Linked DNA regions of Macaca mulatta. The main gene of each other region encodes a partner of the protein of the gene in region 2 in a complex. Links are inferred from orthologs where the notes say so. Each region holds a gene or a part of one and is shown on either strand. Other genes may lie near its edges.

Region 1 (5,070 bases), on a different chromosome or scaffold from region 2:
CAAATATTAGGTAAGTAAAACCACGTTTCAGTTTCCCATTGAGCCTGATATCTTGTGTTCCAGAAACACTTTGTATAAATAAGCAATACCTACCCACCAAAATCAACAAGGAGAATCTGTGCTCACACACATGCTCTTAAGTGTACATGTAAAATTCAAAATCAATACCTGATGGGCTCTACATATAAGATCCAAATCATGCTTATGGAGAAATTTTGCAACCACTTCTGCACCAAATGTGAAGGACACTCCTCTGTCATTTTCACCCCAGCCTAAGACATCTTTATCGGGGTCAGACCACAAAAGATCACAAAGAAGACCTTGATCTGGTACATCAGTTGGTCGCATAATTCGCCGAATCTGCTCCATAGATTGAAGATCTGGTGATAAACCTATTCAATGAGGAAAAGAAAAACGAAGAAAGCAAAACTTTTAAAAGGATATTACCCCTTCAAAAGTTCCATTTGTCTACAGAGAAATTCAATAATACTGACACAAAAACTGAAATCGGATTATATTTTATTTACTTTTGGTTAAAAGAAAAAAAACACACACACACAGAAAAAGGACAACTGGATACACACTAGAATTATATGCAGTAATGCATGGGGTGCTGCAGGTTTAAACAGTACATGGAGGCAGTTATATTATACAGAACACTGTAAAACAAAATCCAGTGATTTAAAAAACTCTTCTACGGGCTTCCCCAGTTGATGACAATAATGAGCAATGTTACGATTGATGGCTTATAATGACTGAGCTGAGAAGATAAGGATGCTCAGTGAGAGGTAGTTCTCTAGGAAATCTGCACTATTCATAGACCATTAAAATCTACAAGAGCTCATTGTATCGAGTTACAATATGGGATGCATATTATAAGAGTTAAAAACCATGTATCCAACTCTACCAAAACCTGTGTAAGTATAGAAGCACAGAGATAAAAGACATTATGTTGGCTTTTTGATGGCTGATTAATTTCACACCATACATGAAAAGAAATTCTCTTTGCAATTACTATTTTAATTACATTATAGAAAGCACAACCACTGAGCAAAGAAAAATAGCTTATAAAATTTGTATGTATATATTTTTAGAGATAGGGTCTTCCTCTGTTGCCTAGGCTGGAGTGCAGTGGTGCGATCATAGCTCACTGCAGCCTTAAACCCCTGGGCTCAAGTGATCCTCCCGCCTCAGCCTCCCAAATAGCTATGGCTACAGGTGTGCACCATTACACCTGGCTAATTTTTAACACTTTTTCTAATGACAGGGGTCTCGATATGTTACAAGCTGTTCTCATATTCATGGCATCAAGCAATCCTTCCACCTTGGCCTCTCAAAAGTGCTGGAATTACAGATGCGAATTACTATGCCTGGACAAAATAACTTTTAAAATCCAAGTCAGAGAAAGTTCTGAGAGGATAAAAAACAAACAAGGGAAAATCTATTCACATCTTCAGTGTTCTAGAGGATCCCTGGCACAGCAAATTACATATTGTTCATTTTATAGTTAAAAATACTTTTCCGAGCCGGGCACGGTGGCTCACGCCTGTAATCCCAACACTTTGGAAGTCCAAGGCAGGAGGATTGTTTGAGCCCAGGAATTTGTGACCAGCCTGGGCAACATGGTGAGAACTCATCCTTACAAAAAATAAAATAAAAATAAACATTTTCTGCTCTATTTTCAATCCTAATTTACAGAGTCTAGAATTCCCTGTAATAAATCAGTTCCTTAAGATTTTTATCCAAGTAATCCTGGCTGTATCGGAGTGACAGTGCAATGCAACACATCAACAAAGGAGAGTGTTCTGTCAGAGGAAGTCATCCCAATGGTAACTCACAAATGTTAAAGTGTTCATCCTTTGGAAGGGATCAAAACCTATTTGGAACAAAAATCAGCCCAACTACCTCCATGACAGCAGAATATCTTCTCATCCACGATGGCTGCTATCGGTAAACAGTTAAAACAGTCTGTGAAAGTTTTCCATAGTTTAATGTTGTATCTTCTTTTACCTGTGATCAAAAAGAGAGTATTACTGTTCCGTAGGCTCATTCTCTCAGGATTAACTTCCCCCAAAGCAAGATTCTGGGTGCTTTTTAAGCAAACGAAACTATGTTTTTATTAAGAATCTTAATAAAACTGTCTTATTTTAACACTCTTTTAAAATAAGAGCTGGGCGTGGTGGGTCAGACCTGTAACCCCAGCACTTCGGGAGGTTGAGGTAGGAGGATCGCTTGAGCCCAGGAGTTCAAGAACAGCTTGGGCAACGTAGTGACACCCCATCTCTTTAAAGAAAGACTCTCCTGGAGGGAAGGGGTTTAGGAGAGACACATCTGATCTAAAAGCAATGACTTACATTTTCACATGAAATCTTTTTAAATTCCACAGAAGTATGAAACCAGAATTCCAGATTTGATAATGATTAAGGATTGCCATCAAATCCCAGGAATTATCTGGTAGCATCAATTCTGTCTGAAATCCAGTATGCTTTGTCCAATCTCAACGCAGCTAGTTCCCTAATTCTTAAGGCGATTACGAACTTACACCATGTGGCATTACGACCTTCCTTCTGAGGAATCCTGAGTTAGCACCCATCCCCCATGTACTCCCCTCAACAACCTACAGATACCAGAGGATCCCCAGGCCTCAGTGCTCTAGCAGGAGGCACAATGATCACACGGCAGTGGTGCCTCTCACAGGCACTACAGGGCATTTGTTTCCAACACTGCACAGACTCCACATGCTCCCACAGGCCTGATGTCACAGGGTGGTCACGTTCTCTCACCAGCACAGGCATCCACACATTCTGGAGTCAGAGTGCAGTTCTGACAGAAATATGCCACTATGCACTGTTTCTACAGGAAACTGATGTTCTGAGTTTAAAACCTACTCACATACCTTGCAAGAACAAATTTCTCTGGATTGGTTGAGGACTGTCCAATTGTCCAGATGCCTTTGTTTCCTGTACCTTACTAAGCACAATCTTTAAAAACCAACAGTTTGGCCAGGCGGGGTAGCTCACATCTGTAATCCCAGCTCTTTGGGAGGTCAAGGCGGGCAGATCATCTGAGGTTGGGAGTTTGAGACCAGCCTGACCAAGATGGAGAAATCCCTTCTTTACTAAAAATACAAAAATTAGCTGGGTGTGGTGGTGCATGCCTGTAATCCCAACTACTTGGGAGGCTGAGGCAGGAGAATCGCTTGAACCCGGGGAGGCGGAGATTGTGGTGAGCCTTGATTGTGCCATTGCACTCCGGCCTGGGCAACAAGAGCGAAACTCCATCTCAAAAAACAAACCAAACCAAACCAAACCAAACCAAACCAAGAGTTTGTCCCTATTAGTCTTTTCCTGGGGACTACAGGGACATGGAAAGGTTTAAACCTGTACCTCTCCTTTGAGAGTTAGGGCCAGCCCAAACAACTGACCTGAACCACACTTCCCACCCTGTAATGCAAATCAAGCAGTCTAGGGAGTTTAGCACAGGGCTTGAAATGTAATGTAAATTCAACAAATGTTTGCCTTCTCTCTGCAGAGAAGAGTGTTATCTTTTCTCCTAGTAATTTCTGGTTTCTCAATGACTGGGTCTAACTCTGTGGGTCACCCTGTTGCGCATTTCTTTAGAGGCTACTAACTCCTTCACTGGAGGGGTTCTGAAAGTTCAACAAACTCCTCCCGCCAGGCTGAGGAGGCTGAGGCAGGAAAACTGCTTGAACCTGGGAGGCAGAGGTTGCAGTAAGCCAAGATCGCACCATTGCACTCCAGCCTGGGCAACAAGAGTGAATGAAACTCCATCTAAAAAAAAAAAAAAAAAAAAAAACCAACAAACTCCTCCTTACGAAAGGCTGATGGGCAATCTGCAAAAACACCACCTCCCATGTCCAACAGCAATACTACTACTAACCACCACCACCACCACAAGATGAGTATCCTTAATCCAAGATGCTCCAAAATTTGAAACTTTTTGAGCACTCACATGATGCTCAAAGGAAATGCTCACTGGAGCATTCCGGATTTCAGATTTTTGGATTAGGGATGTTTAACCAGTAATTATAACACAAATATTCCAAAATTAAAACAAAACAAAACAAAACAAAACACAAAACTCTGAAACCTGCAACACTTCTAGTCCCAAGCATTCCAGGTAAGGAATACTTAACCTGTATTATAAGAACAGGGCTGCTGCCTTAGCCCCCCAGTGATAGTGACTTCCTCTTTCCCCAAGGTCAGCTTCACTTCTGGATATTTTTTTTTTTTTGAGGTGGGGTCTCACTCCGTCACCCAGGTGGAGTAAAGCAATGTGATCTCGGCTCACTGCAACCACAGCCTCCCGAGTTCCAGGGATTCTTCTGCCTCAATCTCCTGAGTAGCTGGGACTACAGGTGTGCACCACCACACCTAATTTTTGTATTTTTAGTAGAGATGGGTTTTCACCATGTTGGTCAGACTGGTCTTGAACTCCTGACCTCAAGTGATCCACCCACCTTGGCCTCCCAAAGTACTGGGATTACAGGCATGAGCTACCATGCCCGGCCTTTGATTCTTTAGTTATGCCACAAACTCCAGTTTCTTCTCTTGCCGATTTCTGCTGGCCTCTCCATGAAAAATCAGTTTGCTTCCTCCTTTTGCCTCTCAGCACTTGAAGCGTGGGGCTGTCTCTTTCTCTTCTCTCTTCATATCCTCCCTAAGGCCACCTCAAACCACTAGGAACATCTGGGTCCTAAAAGGTTTAACCAGGGAAATCGTCTAGCTTCCAAATCCTAAGATTCTGAGCCATAACCTGTAATGCAGTTTCCCATTACTGTACATCAGACAGCTCCGATAGCAGAAATGGATCAACAAACACTCCTGTTTTACCCAACAACATATACCTCAGCCTTTTCATCACATTTGCAAAATTTAAACAAACAAACAAAAAAGAAATGGTAGTATAAAGTACTTATGTACCTGGAAAACAGGCAGTGGTTTTAAAATTGTCCCATGAAAATCAACATTTGAATACAACTTTTCATTTTAATAAAATTAATATATATAATATATATACTAAATGTCTGCAAGCCTTCAACCAGAAGCC
Region 2 (5,070 bases):
GGAAGACTACGCAAACACACACACAGCCAACAGGAGATAGTAAGAGCATCAAAGCATTTAAGGAGTCTCCAAAGCAGATCCTGGACCCAGCAGCAAATGTAACTGGTAGCAAGAGGCAGCTGAGAACTCGTAAGGAAAAGGCCAGTGCTCTAGAAGACCTGACTGGCTTCAGAGAACTCTTCCCAGCACCAGGTCACACTGAACAGTCAATGACTGTTGACAAAAACACAACAATGCCCTGCAAATCTCCCCCAGCAGAACCAGCAGACACTGCCACGAGCACAAAGAGATACCCCAAGACACGTCTCAGGAAAGAAGTGAAAGAGGAGCTCTCAGCACTTGAGAGGCTCACACAAACATCAGGGCAAAGCACACACACACACAAAGAATTAGCAAGTGGTGATGAAGGCATCAAAGTATTTAAACAACGTGCAAAGAAGAAACCGAACCCAGTAGAAGAGGAACCCAGCAGGAGAAGGCCAAGAGCACCTAAGGAAAAGGCCCAACCCCTAGAAGACCCGGCCGGCTTCAAAGAGCTCTCTGAACCATCAGGTCACACTCAGGAACCACTGACTGCTGGCAAAGCCACTAAAATACCCTGCAAATCTCCCCCAGTAGAAGTAGTAGACACCACAGCAAGCACAAGGAGGCATCTCAGGACACGTGTGCAGAAGGTACAAGTAAAAGAAGAGCCTTCAGCAGTTAAGTTCACACAAACATCAGGGGGAACCACGGACGCAGATAAAGAACCAGTAGGTGAAGATAAAGGCATCAAAGCAGTGAAGGAATCTGCAAAACAGACACTGGCTCCAGCAGCAAGTGTAACTGGCAGCAGGAGACGGCCAAGAGCACCCAGGGAAAATGCCCAAGCCCTAGAGGACCTGGCTGACTTCAAAGACCCAGCACCGGGTCACACTGAAGAATCAATGACTGATGACAAAACCACTAAAATACCCTGCAAATCATCACCAGAACTAGTAGACACTGCAACAAGTTCAAAGAGACGGCCCAGGACACGTGCCCAGAAAGTAGCAGTGAAGGAGGAGCTGTTAGCAGTCGGCAGTCTCACACAAACATCAGGGGAGACCGCGCACACCGACAAAGAGCCGGTAGGCGAGGACAAAGGCATGAAAGCATTTAAGCAACCTGTAAAGCGGAAGCTGGACGCAGAAGATGTAATTGGCAGCAGGAGACGGCCAAGAGCACCTAAGGAAAAGGCCCAACCCCTAGAAGATCTGGCCAGCTTCCCAGAGCTCTCTCCAACACCAGGCCACACTGAGGAACTGGCAAATGGTGCTGCTGATAGCTTTACAAGCGCTCCAAAGAAAACACCTGACAGTGGAAAACCTCTAAAAACATCCAGAAGAGTTCTTCGGGCCCCTAAAGTAGAACCCGTGGCAGACCTGGTAAGTACCACAGACCCTGTAAAATCACAGAGCAAAAGCAACACTTCCCTGCCCCCACTGCCCTTCAAGAGCGGAGGTGGCAAAGATGGAAGCGCCACAGGAACCAAGAGGCTGCGCTGCATGCCTGCGCCGGAGGAGATCACGGAGGAGCTGCCAGCCAGCAAGAAGCAGAGGGTTGCTCCCAGGGCGAGAGGCAAATCACCGGAACCCATGGTCATCATGAAGAGAAGTTTGAGGACTTCTGCAAAAAGAATTGAACCTGTGGTAGAGCTGAACAGCAACAACATGAAAACCAACAAAGAGGAACACAAATTACAAGACTCGGTCCCTGAAAATAAGGTGAGAGGAAGTATTACAACATCACCCAATATCATCCTGGATAGTTGTCAGTTTCTGTGTTATACTTTGCATGTAACCTGACATTATAAGTGGTTATCATGGCCGGGCGCGGTGGCTCACGCCTGTAATCCCAGCACTTTGGGAGGCCGAGGCGGGCGGATCACAAGGTCAGGAGATCGAGACCATCCTGGCTAACACTGTGAAACCCCGTCTCTACTAAAAATGCAAAAAATTAGCCGGGCGAGGCGGCGGGCGCCTGTAGTCCCAGCTACTCGGGAGGCTGAGGCAGGAGAATGGCGTGAACCCGGGAGGCGGAGCTTGCAGTGAGCCGAGATCGCGCCACTGCACTCCAGCCTGGGCGACTAAGCGAGACTGTCTCAAAAAAAAAAAAAAAAAATAAGTGGTTATTTCCCAAATGGGTTTCATTTAACACAGTGAACAACTGCAGGCCATGGTAAAGAATCTTCTTGGGACCTATAAAGGGAACAGACTAATTTGGGAAAAGAACGAGTCAAAAATGATAAAATGATTAATGCAAACTTAGAAGAGTTTCTCAAGAGCCAAATGAGTAATGTTCATCTTCATATGTTTGAAAAATTGATCAGAGGATAGGTGGGTGGTTCAGTTCTATGTTCTAGATACTGTCACCAAGACCAGGACTGGGTTAAAAATAATATCTATGTCACTATTTTAACTATCAGAACAATATCGATAGGGAGTGTGTATTCTTGAGAAGGGGGGAACTGTCTGGACTGTTAGAGAGGTTCCTACTGCATCCGGAGAAGTTTGGGGAAACTCCAGAAATGGTAATTTCCTATTCTGCCTTAGCAGTGATGGTTAAAGGAATAGGAGTTCATTTACTCTCTGTAAATGAATGAATAATGGAGCTTCTTTCTATAAACTGTAAAAATTAGAGTTGATATATGTCTTTTTAGGCATTGTTATTGAAATTTATCCTGAATGCCTTATTTGTAATTTGTCAGCAGAGACAGTCATTTCTCCATAGGAACAAAGTACCAAGGCATTACCTTGACTATCTTAGATGACAGGTTTCTTAGAAAATTCATCAGTGAGTAATTTTCAAATGATTTCTCCTTTTAGTTTACTATTGTTGATTGTTCTCCCTGTTGAATTTTGAATTTGTTTTACTAATTATTGGAATTCTGTGGATGTCTTCTCATTTCTTTAGGGAATATCCCTGCGCTCCAGACGCCAAAATAAGACTGATGTAGAACAGCAAATAACTGAGGTCCTGGTATTAGCAGAAAGAATAGAAATAAACAGAAATGAAATGAAGACCTCCCCAGAGATGGACATTCAGAATCCAGATGACGGAGCCTGGAAACCCATACCTAGAGGCAAAGTCAGTGAAAACAAAAGGTGCTTGAGGTCTGTGAGACCGAATAAGAGCTCCCAGCCTAAGGTGGCAGAGGAGAGCGGAGGGCAGAAGAGCGCAGGGGTTCTCATGCAGAATCAGGAAGGGAAAGGAGAAGCAGGAAATTCAGACTCCATGTGTTTGAGATCAAGAAAGACGAAAAGCCAGTCTGCAGCAAGCACTTTGGAGAGTGAATCTGTGCAGAGAGTAACGCGGAGTGTCAAGAGGTGTGCAGAAAATCCAAAGAAGGTAAGCTATTTACTGTTTTCCGTTTTTAGAAGAGACAGTGTTTTGATCTATTTTTTTGCCCAAGGTTGCAAAGGCAAACAAAAAGCATTATTTTCAACAGCCCTCTGCCAGCTCCCAGTTACATTCATGGAAGGAGCATTATCCTAAGACATACGTTTTGTCATTTTAGTTATATTTTGTTGTGTCTGCTTTGGGGATTCCACTTCAAATAGCAAATTCACATTATGAAGACTTTCTTCAGAAAGAAAAGGAATTTGTCTAGTGGCTAATTGACTGCTTATGATGTACCTCATGATACAATTGCAGGTAGCTGTCTTCAGCCTTTCTGTAGTTCAAAAACACCTATTGAAACAGAAAAGTTCTTCCCCCCCCCCAAAAAAAACAAACTATTGAAACAGAAAAATGTCCAAGGAATTCTTTGGAAAGGTAGAAGGAACAGAGGTTGGGGTGGCCCTGAGACACACGCTGACTATGTGAGAATTCCTGATCAGTGGGGAGTGCTTCTGCCCTCCAACCCCCCTCTAGCCAGAGACTATCTAAGCTAATGAGCTTTAAGTGCTACTGAACTCACATCAAGTTTAGCCACACATAATTACAAGCATGTGGACAAATCGATAAGAATGATTAGATTCCATTAGTGTTCTTCTGGGGAATACTTGATTTAGCTAAAATAAAAATAGGTTGAATTGCTCCCTGTTTGTGAGTGGTATAAGTGTAATTCTTAGCACACACAAAATTTGGACCTAAAACTACCATATTGTGAGTTCAGCAAACGAAACTGGTGTAGCAATAACCTCTTCAGATACAGAATTCTGGCAAGTACAGCTGTCCAGACAGACCTTCAGCACAAATCAGGAAGCTTCAACTGCCGAGAAGAGGAAAGATTCCCCAATACCTGCTGCATAGCCAGGCAGCCAGTGGAGGCGGAGGGCTTGTGTGTCTGGATGGTGGGCAGGAAGTCCTAGTGGGGAGATGCCCATAGACTGTTCCAGAGAGGGAAGAGGGGAGGCTCAACAAGGACACTGATGCCCACACAGGTGTCCTAAGTCAGAGACTACTTCTGGGGCAGGCTGGAAGCAGAAGACATCTGACAGTGCCAGACGAGGTCCTAGAGACCACAGGGACACCAGGGATGCAACAGCTGATGTGGGTGAGCACGTTCACCCGTCCATCTTACAATAAAACACAGGCTCTAGGCGCTCACCAAATTCACAGTCTGGAAGGTGCTGCTTCATCAGAATGAAACAAAAGAAGGGTGAAAGCAAATCTTTTAACTAGGGTGATACCTAAACACAGAGCAACCAGGCCCAAGACTGAGCCAGGCCCGGTGTGTTCTGCCAGGCGCGTTCCAGCCTCTTCTCACACACAAGCACCCAGGAGACGTCCAACACATACATGCTCCTCTATTGCTGAGTTCTTCGGTGGGTGTCGGTAGTCCTAGAAAATGCATATATAACAGATTTTTTCCAGTAAGAAGCTTATAGCCATGCTTTTCACCATGGTCCCTCCCCCTTAGCCAAGAGGTGAGAACTGCAAGAGTGAAGGCCAAGGCAGGTCCCCTGCGTGCAAGTTGGGGATAGTTCTGTCTTTGGGAGCTGCTTGGTTTATAAGACCCAAAAGACTTAGTCCTGGTTGGATTCACTTTTTCTTTCTTTTTTTTTTTTTTTTTGAGACTGAGTCTGGCTCTGTCACCCAGGCTGG
Region 3 (5,170 bases), on a different chromosome or scaffold from region 2:
GAGAGGCGCAGCAGGAACCGGGGCTGCCTGCGGTGCTGGTGGGCCAGCGCAAGTTTTGAGTGGGTGCAGGCTGGGCCAGCCCTGCACTGGAGTGGCAGTGAGGGGCTTAGCACCCAGGATAGCAGCTGCGGAGGGTGTGCCAGGTTCCCCATCAGTGCCAGCCCACCCACGCTGTGCTCAAATTCTTGCCAGGCCTCAGCTGCCTCCCATGGGGCAGGGCCAGGGACCTGCAGCCCGCCATGCCCCGCAGTGGGCTCCCGTGCAGCCCAAGCCTCCCCAAGGGGTGCAGCCCCCTGCTGGGTGGCGCCCCTTCCCATCTACCGGCCCAAGGGCTGAGGAGTGCAGGCACGCGGAGCGGGACTGGAGGGCAGCTCTGCCTGTGCCCCCTGTGCTGGATCCACTAGGGGAAGCCAGCTGGGCTCCTGAGTCTGGTGGGGACTTGGAGAACTTTTATGTCTAGCTTATAAATATACCAATCAGCACTCTGTGTCTAGCTCAAGGTTTGTAAACACAACAATCAGCACTCTGTTAAAACGGACCAATTAGCTCTCTGTAAAATGGACCAATCAGCAGGATGTGGGTGGGGTCAGATAAGTGAATAAAAGAAGGCCGCTCCAACTAGCAGTGGCAACTTGCTCAGGTCCCCTTCTATGCTGTGGAAGCTTTGTTCTTTTGCTCTTGCAATAAATCTTGCTGCTGCTCACTCTTTGCGTGTGCACCGCCTTTATGAGCTGTAACACTCACCACAAAGGTTTGCAGCTTCGCTCCTGAAGCCAGCAAGACCACAAATCCACCAGGAGGGATGAACAACTCCAGACGCACCGCCTTTAAGAGCTGTAACACCGCAAAGGTCTGCAGCTTCACTCCTGAAGGCAGTGAGACCACAAACCCACCCGAAGGGAGAAACTCTGAACATGTCCGAACATCAGAAGGAACAAACTCTGGACACACCATCTTTAAGAACTGTAACACTCACCACGAGGGTCTGTGGCTTCATTCCTGAAGTCAGGGAGACCAAGAATCCACCAGTTCTGGACAAAAAAGGTGTAAACAGCCACAGCCTCGCTTAAAACCCAACCACCCCCTCGCATTTACAACAAAACCCCAGTTTCATACTTTGACACACAGAGCCATGGGACTCCAGCCTGCCCCCTCGCAGCTCTTCCCTCCTACGCTGGGCTCCAACCCCACTGCTGGGTCCTTCTTTCTATACCTAGGAACACATGTGTAGGCCTGTCTGATCCAGCAGATGGCAGGGCCTCAGTTCTCCAGACCCTGCTCCTTAGCCTTCAGGCTTCGCTGCCAACACCACCTCCTAAGGGGGACCCTCCTGCGTCACCCAGTGTGCCTCTCCCCCACGAGGCTCTTTCATCTCTCAAAGCAGCCATGCTGCCCCAGGCTGTAAATTCTCTAGGGGTCTCCACACAGGAGGGGCTCACACACTAGTGAGTGAAATAACCAAATTAGGGCTGGGCACGGTGGCTCACACCTGTTATCCCAGCACTTTGGGAGGTTGGGGCGGGTAGATCACCTGAGGTCAGGACTTCGAGACCAGCCTGACCAACATGGTGAAACCCCATTTCTACTAAAAATAAGCCAGTGGGGCATGGTGCGGGCGCCAGTAATCCCAGCTACTCGGGAGACTGAGGCAGGAGAATCGAACTCTGAAGGCAGAAGTTGCAGTCAGCTCAGATTGAGCCATTTCACTGCAGCTGGGGCAACCAGAGCGGAAACTCTGTTTCGAAAATAATAATAAGCAAATTGAGGAATGTGAGCAGCATCTCGGGCACCAGTACTGTTTTGTAATTGTAGACCGCCTTTCTAAGTAGGCGTGAAGGTAATTGTTTCAGGCACTCTTAAGCCAAGCCAATCGGCGCCCCTACAGCGGAGGGCGCGGAAACTATCCCCAGCCCAGCCCCAGACCCCACTCCCCGCCGCCCCGGGGCCCCCCTGCCCCGCACCGCTCTGTCCACCCCCGCCCCGTCTCCACCCCCACCCCTGTCCCCACCCCACCCCCGTCCCGCCCCACTCCCCACCCCCGCCTCGGCACAACTACGCCCGGTGCCGCGCCTCCGCGCGACTCATGCCTCTCCCCGCCCCTCGCCAGGCCTCGTGCCCCGCCCTCGCACCGCGGCACAATTTATGCCCCGTCCCGCGTCCCGCGCCCCGCGCCTCGTGCCCCACCCCCGCTTCTCCGTGCTACTCCTGCTCCAACCCCGCGCGCGACTCATGGCCCTCCCCACCCCTCGCCACGCCTCGCCTCCGCGCTTCGCCACGCCCCTGTCCTACCTCTACTTCCGCCTCAGGGGAGCTGGGAGCCCGTCGTTTCCGGGAGCGCCGCGTGGAGTTAGTGTTGGCCGCTTTTGGCATGGCGGCTTTTTCTGGCCCAGCTGGGCCGATCCTGTCGCTTAACCCGCAGGAAGATGCCGAGTTTCAAAAGGAGGTGGCGCAGGTTCGCAAGCGCATAACCCAGGTGAGCAGGCACCCTGGTCCAGGCTGCGAGCGGGGGCGACGGACAGGGTCTAGGGGGTATCCGGGGTTGCGCGGTTCCCCGCCCGGACTCCCCTTGCCTTCGCGCACGCCTTCCAGAGTATCCTTAGCGGATTTGACCGAATCAGGGACCCACCTCTTAAGCTTGCAGGCCACGGTTTCTGAGACTAAAGGGTTTACGCTGGTGGGTAAATGATGGAGAGGTTTGGCCGCTGAGGCCTTGGAGCCTTCATGTGGAGGGTAAGGGGGAAGTATTGGGGTGACGGAAGCCGCGGAGGGAACCACCTGGAGGGAATAGGTTCCCATACCACAGGTTGTCTCCGGGTTAGACCTGTCACGCTTCCGCGTTCCCCCCGAAAACGGGGGCCCCAGACTTAACACATTCGGGAGGTTTGTATGCCGGGTTGGTGATCTGGGAGTTATTAAAATAGAGTAGTTGCCAGGTTCCGCTTGCTGACCAGGGCCCCTGACATCGCTTATACTTTCTGTGGTTTTTAGCATAAACTACACAGGAAAACTTAGAAGTTCTTGTTACAGAGGTAAGGGTATGATGGTTGAGACGCTGAAAGGCTAATCTGTATTGTGAGAGTTAGCAAGCGTCTCGAAAATTTTTCGATGAAATGCGAGTAAACAGTAATATGCATACAAAATTGAAGGCTATATTTATGTAGAGTTCTCTGGGCAGAAGATCCAAAATGGCTTGTTCGAAGATGTCCTTGCTTATCCGTTGATTGACATAGTTATTGAGCACTAACATTATACTGGGTGCTGGGATGCCAGGCTGGAAAGATAGTTGATTACTGCTTGGCCATGGCCTTTGTGGGGAGAGAGACACTCAACAGCCACTTCTTTAATTACTACTGTGGTAAGTGGAAATGCGGAGTAGGTTCTTGGGCCTAGGGCTAGGGGTTTTGTAAGTTTTGTTACAATGTGATTTTCTTATTTTAAAAAATATTTAATTTACCTGGTCTTTATGTCTTCAGCGGAAAAAACAAGAACGACTTACTTCTGGAGTAGTCTATGTGGGCCACCTACCTAACCTACTTAACGAAACCCAGATCTTTTCGTATTTCTCCCAGTTTGGCACTGTGACACGATTCAGACTGTCCAGAAGTAAAAGGGTAAGATTTTTAAAGTTGGATTTGACGTTTTGTTTTTCAAATGTGTGTGATTCTTGACATTAAAGAGCACGTTCACATACTCTTATCAGATTTCATTCCAAAAAGAAGAGTGGAGGTTTAGAATCTGAAACATAGAATCCCGGCACATAAACTTGGGTTGTAGCCATAGGCACCTATTTGATTTAGCATCTAGGGGATAGGGTGTGCATCCATCATCTGTTAGTTGTCCTAAAGATACAGATTATAGGTAGAATTGAGGTCCCTTTTGTACCCTTCCCAGTGTTCTTCACCTTCTCCTTTAATTAGGGAATTAAATTCACAAATTCCGTTTTCTTTTTTTTGAGACAGAAGCTTGCACTGGAGTGCAGTGGTGCGATCTCAGCTCACTGCGACCTCCGCCTCCCAGGTTCAAGCGATTCTCCTTGCCTCACCCTCCCAAGTAGCTGGGATTATAGGCACCTGCCACCACACCTGGCTACATTTTTTTTGTGTTTTTAGTAGAGACGGGGTTTCATTAGTTGGCCAGGCTGTTCTCGAACTCCTGACCTTGTGATCCTCCCACCTCAGCCACCCAGAGTGCTGGGATTACAGGCGTGAGCCATCGCTCCTGGCCACAAATTCAGTTTTCATTGCTATATATGTTTATAAGTTTTTACTGTATCTATATATATATGTGCTACAACACGTGTGTACATATATAAATGTACATATAGTATTATTTTAAAATTATTTCTATCATTCTTCAGCTGAATTTTTTTACTCAATAATCTGAGCTTTATCCGTGTAACTCTAGTGCCTTTGTTATCATCATTGCTTGTTACTTAGGTAACTAAAGTTTATCCACGCTCCTATTGAACATTAGGTTTTGTTTTGGGGTTTTTTTTTTTTTTGAGACAATCTCACTCTTGTCACCAGGCAGCTGTAGTGCAGTGGGACGATCTCAGCTCACTGCAACCTCCGCCTCCACATTCAAGTGATTCTCCTGCCTCATCCTCCTAAGTGGCTGAGATTACAGGTACTGGCCACTGCACCTGGCTAATTTTTATATTTTCAGTAGAAACCGTGTTTCACCATGTTTTGGCCAGGCTGGTCTCAAACTCCTGACCTCAGGTGATCCGCCCACCTCGGCCTCCGAAGGTGCTGGAATTACAAGTGTGAGCGAGCCACTGTGCCTAGCCTGAACATTAGGTTTTTTACTATTTTTAACTCTTTACATGAAGCTGCTAGGAACAATCTTTGTGCAGGTATAGACAGATTTTTCTAGAAGAGCATTTTGCAGACTGGCTCACAATAAGAAGTAAGTTTTTACCATCACAGAGAAGATGAGGGTTTTCAAAAAAAGTTTCATAGCACAAACCAGCACACATACACATACATGTAAGCATAACTGAAATAAAAGCCATATGAGACAATATTTAAACTTGTTTTGTGTGATTTGCTGATTTTCTATTTCATTCTATTCAGGGTTTTTTTGGTTGTTGTTTTGTTTTGTTTGAGACGGAGTCTCGCTCTGTCGCCCGGGCTGGAGTGCAGTAGCACAGTTCCTCAGCTGACTGTGA

The links.
Region 1: the proteins of MKI67 (region 2) and PPP1CC are in contact, whole or in part, in a crystal structure (PDB 5J28), measured with the Homo sapiens proteins. The link is inferred for Macaca mulatta from reciprocal best matches to the Homo sapiens genes MKI67 and PPP1CC. Residues at the interface, in NP_002408.3 of Homo sapiens: Arg504, Arg505, Val506, Ser507, Phe508, Gly509, His511, Leu512, Arg513, Pro514, Glu515, Leu516, Phe517, Asp518, Glu519, Asn520, Leu521, Pro522, Pro523, Asn524, Pro526, Leu527, Gly530, Glu531, Ala532, Pro533, Lys535; in NP_002701.1 of Homo sapiens: Val19, Arg20, Gly21, Ser22, Lys23, Pro24, Lys60, Tyr70, Asp71, Leu73, Arg74, Glu77, Tyr78, Lys168, Ile169, Asp242, Leu243, Tyr255, Phe257, Arg261, Pro270, Asn271, Ser284, Asp286, Thr288, Leu289, Met290, Cys291, Ser292, Phe293.
Region 3: the proteins of MKI67 (region 2) and NIFK are in contact, whole or in part, in an NMR structure (PDB 2AFF), measured with the Homo sapiens proteins. The link is inferred for Macaca mulatta from reciprocal best matches to the Homo sapiens genes MKI67 and NIFK. Residues at the interface, in NP_002408.3 of Homo sapiens: Thr9, Ile10, Lys11, Arg12, Ser13, Pro18, His19, Phe20, Pro21, Ser23, Leu24, Arg31, Gly32, Ile33, Glu34, Cys35, Asp36, Ile37, Arg38, Ile39, Gln40, Leu41, Pro42, Val43, Val44, Ser45, Lys46, Thr66, Asn67, Ile91; in NP_115766.3 of Homo sapiens: Val228, Asp229, Ser230, Gln231, Gly232, Pro233, Thr234, Pro235, Val236, Cys237, Phe241, Leu242, Arg245, Gln248, Val249, Leu252, Asp256, Lys257, Asp259, Glu260, Ile261, Val262, Phe263, Lys264, Gln265, Pro266, Ile267.

The regions. Positions count from the first base shown.
Region 1 is NC_133416.1:117,904,071-117,909,140, forward strand, and holds part of PPP1CC (serine/threonine-protein phosphatase PP1-gamma catalytic subunit), read right to left. Parts: intron 2,011-5,070; coding exon 1,906-2,010; intron 393-1,905; coding exon 169-392; intron 1-168. UniProt on the Homo sapiens protein: Protein phosphatase that associates with over 200 regulatory proteins to form highly specific holoenzymes which dephosphorylate hundreds of biological targets.
Region 2 is NC_133414.1:140,140,567-140,145,636, reverse strand, and holds part of MKI67 (proliferation marker protein Ki-67), read left to right. Parts: coding exon 1-1,745; intron 1,746-2,934; coding exon 2,935-3,369; intron 3,370-5,070. UniProt on the Homo sapiens protein: Protein that associates with the surface of mitotic chromosomes and acts both as a chromosome repellent during early mitosis and chromosome attractant during late mitosis.
Region 3 is NC_133417.1:15,726,666-15,731,835, forward strand, and holds the start of NIFK (MKI67 FHA domain-interacting nucleolar phosphoprotein), read left to right. Parts: upstream 1-2,321; 5' UTR 2,322-2,368; coding exon 2,369-2,473; intron 2,474-3,473; coding exon 3,474-3,611; intron 3,612-5,170.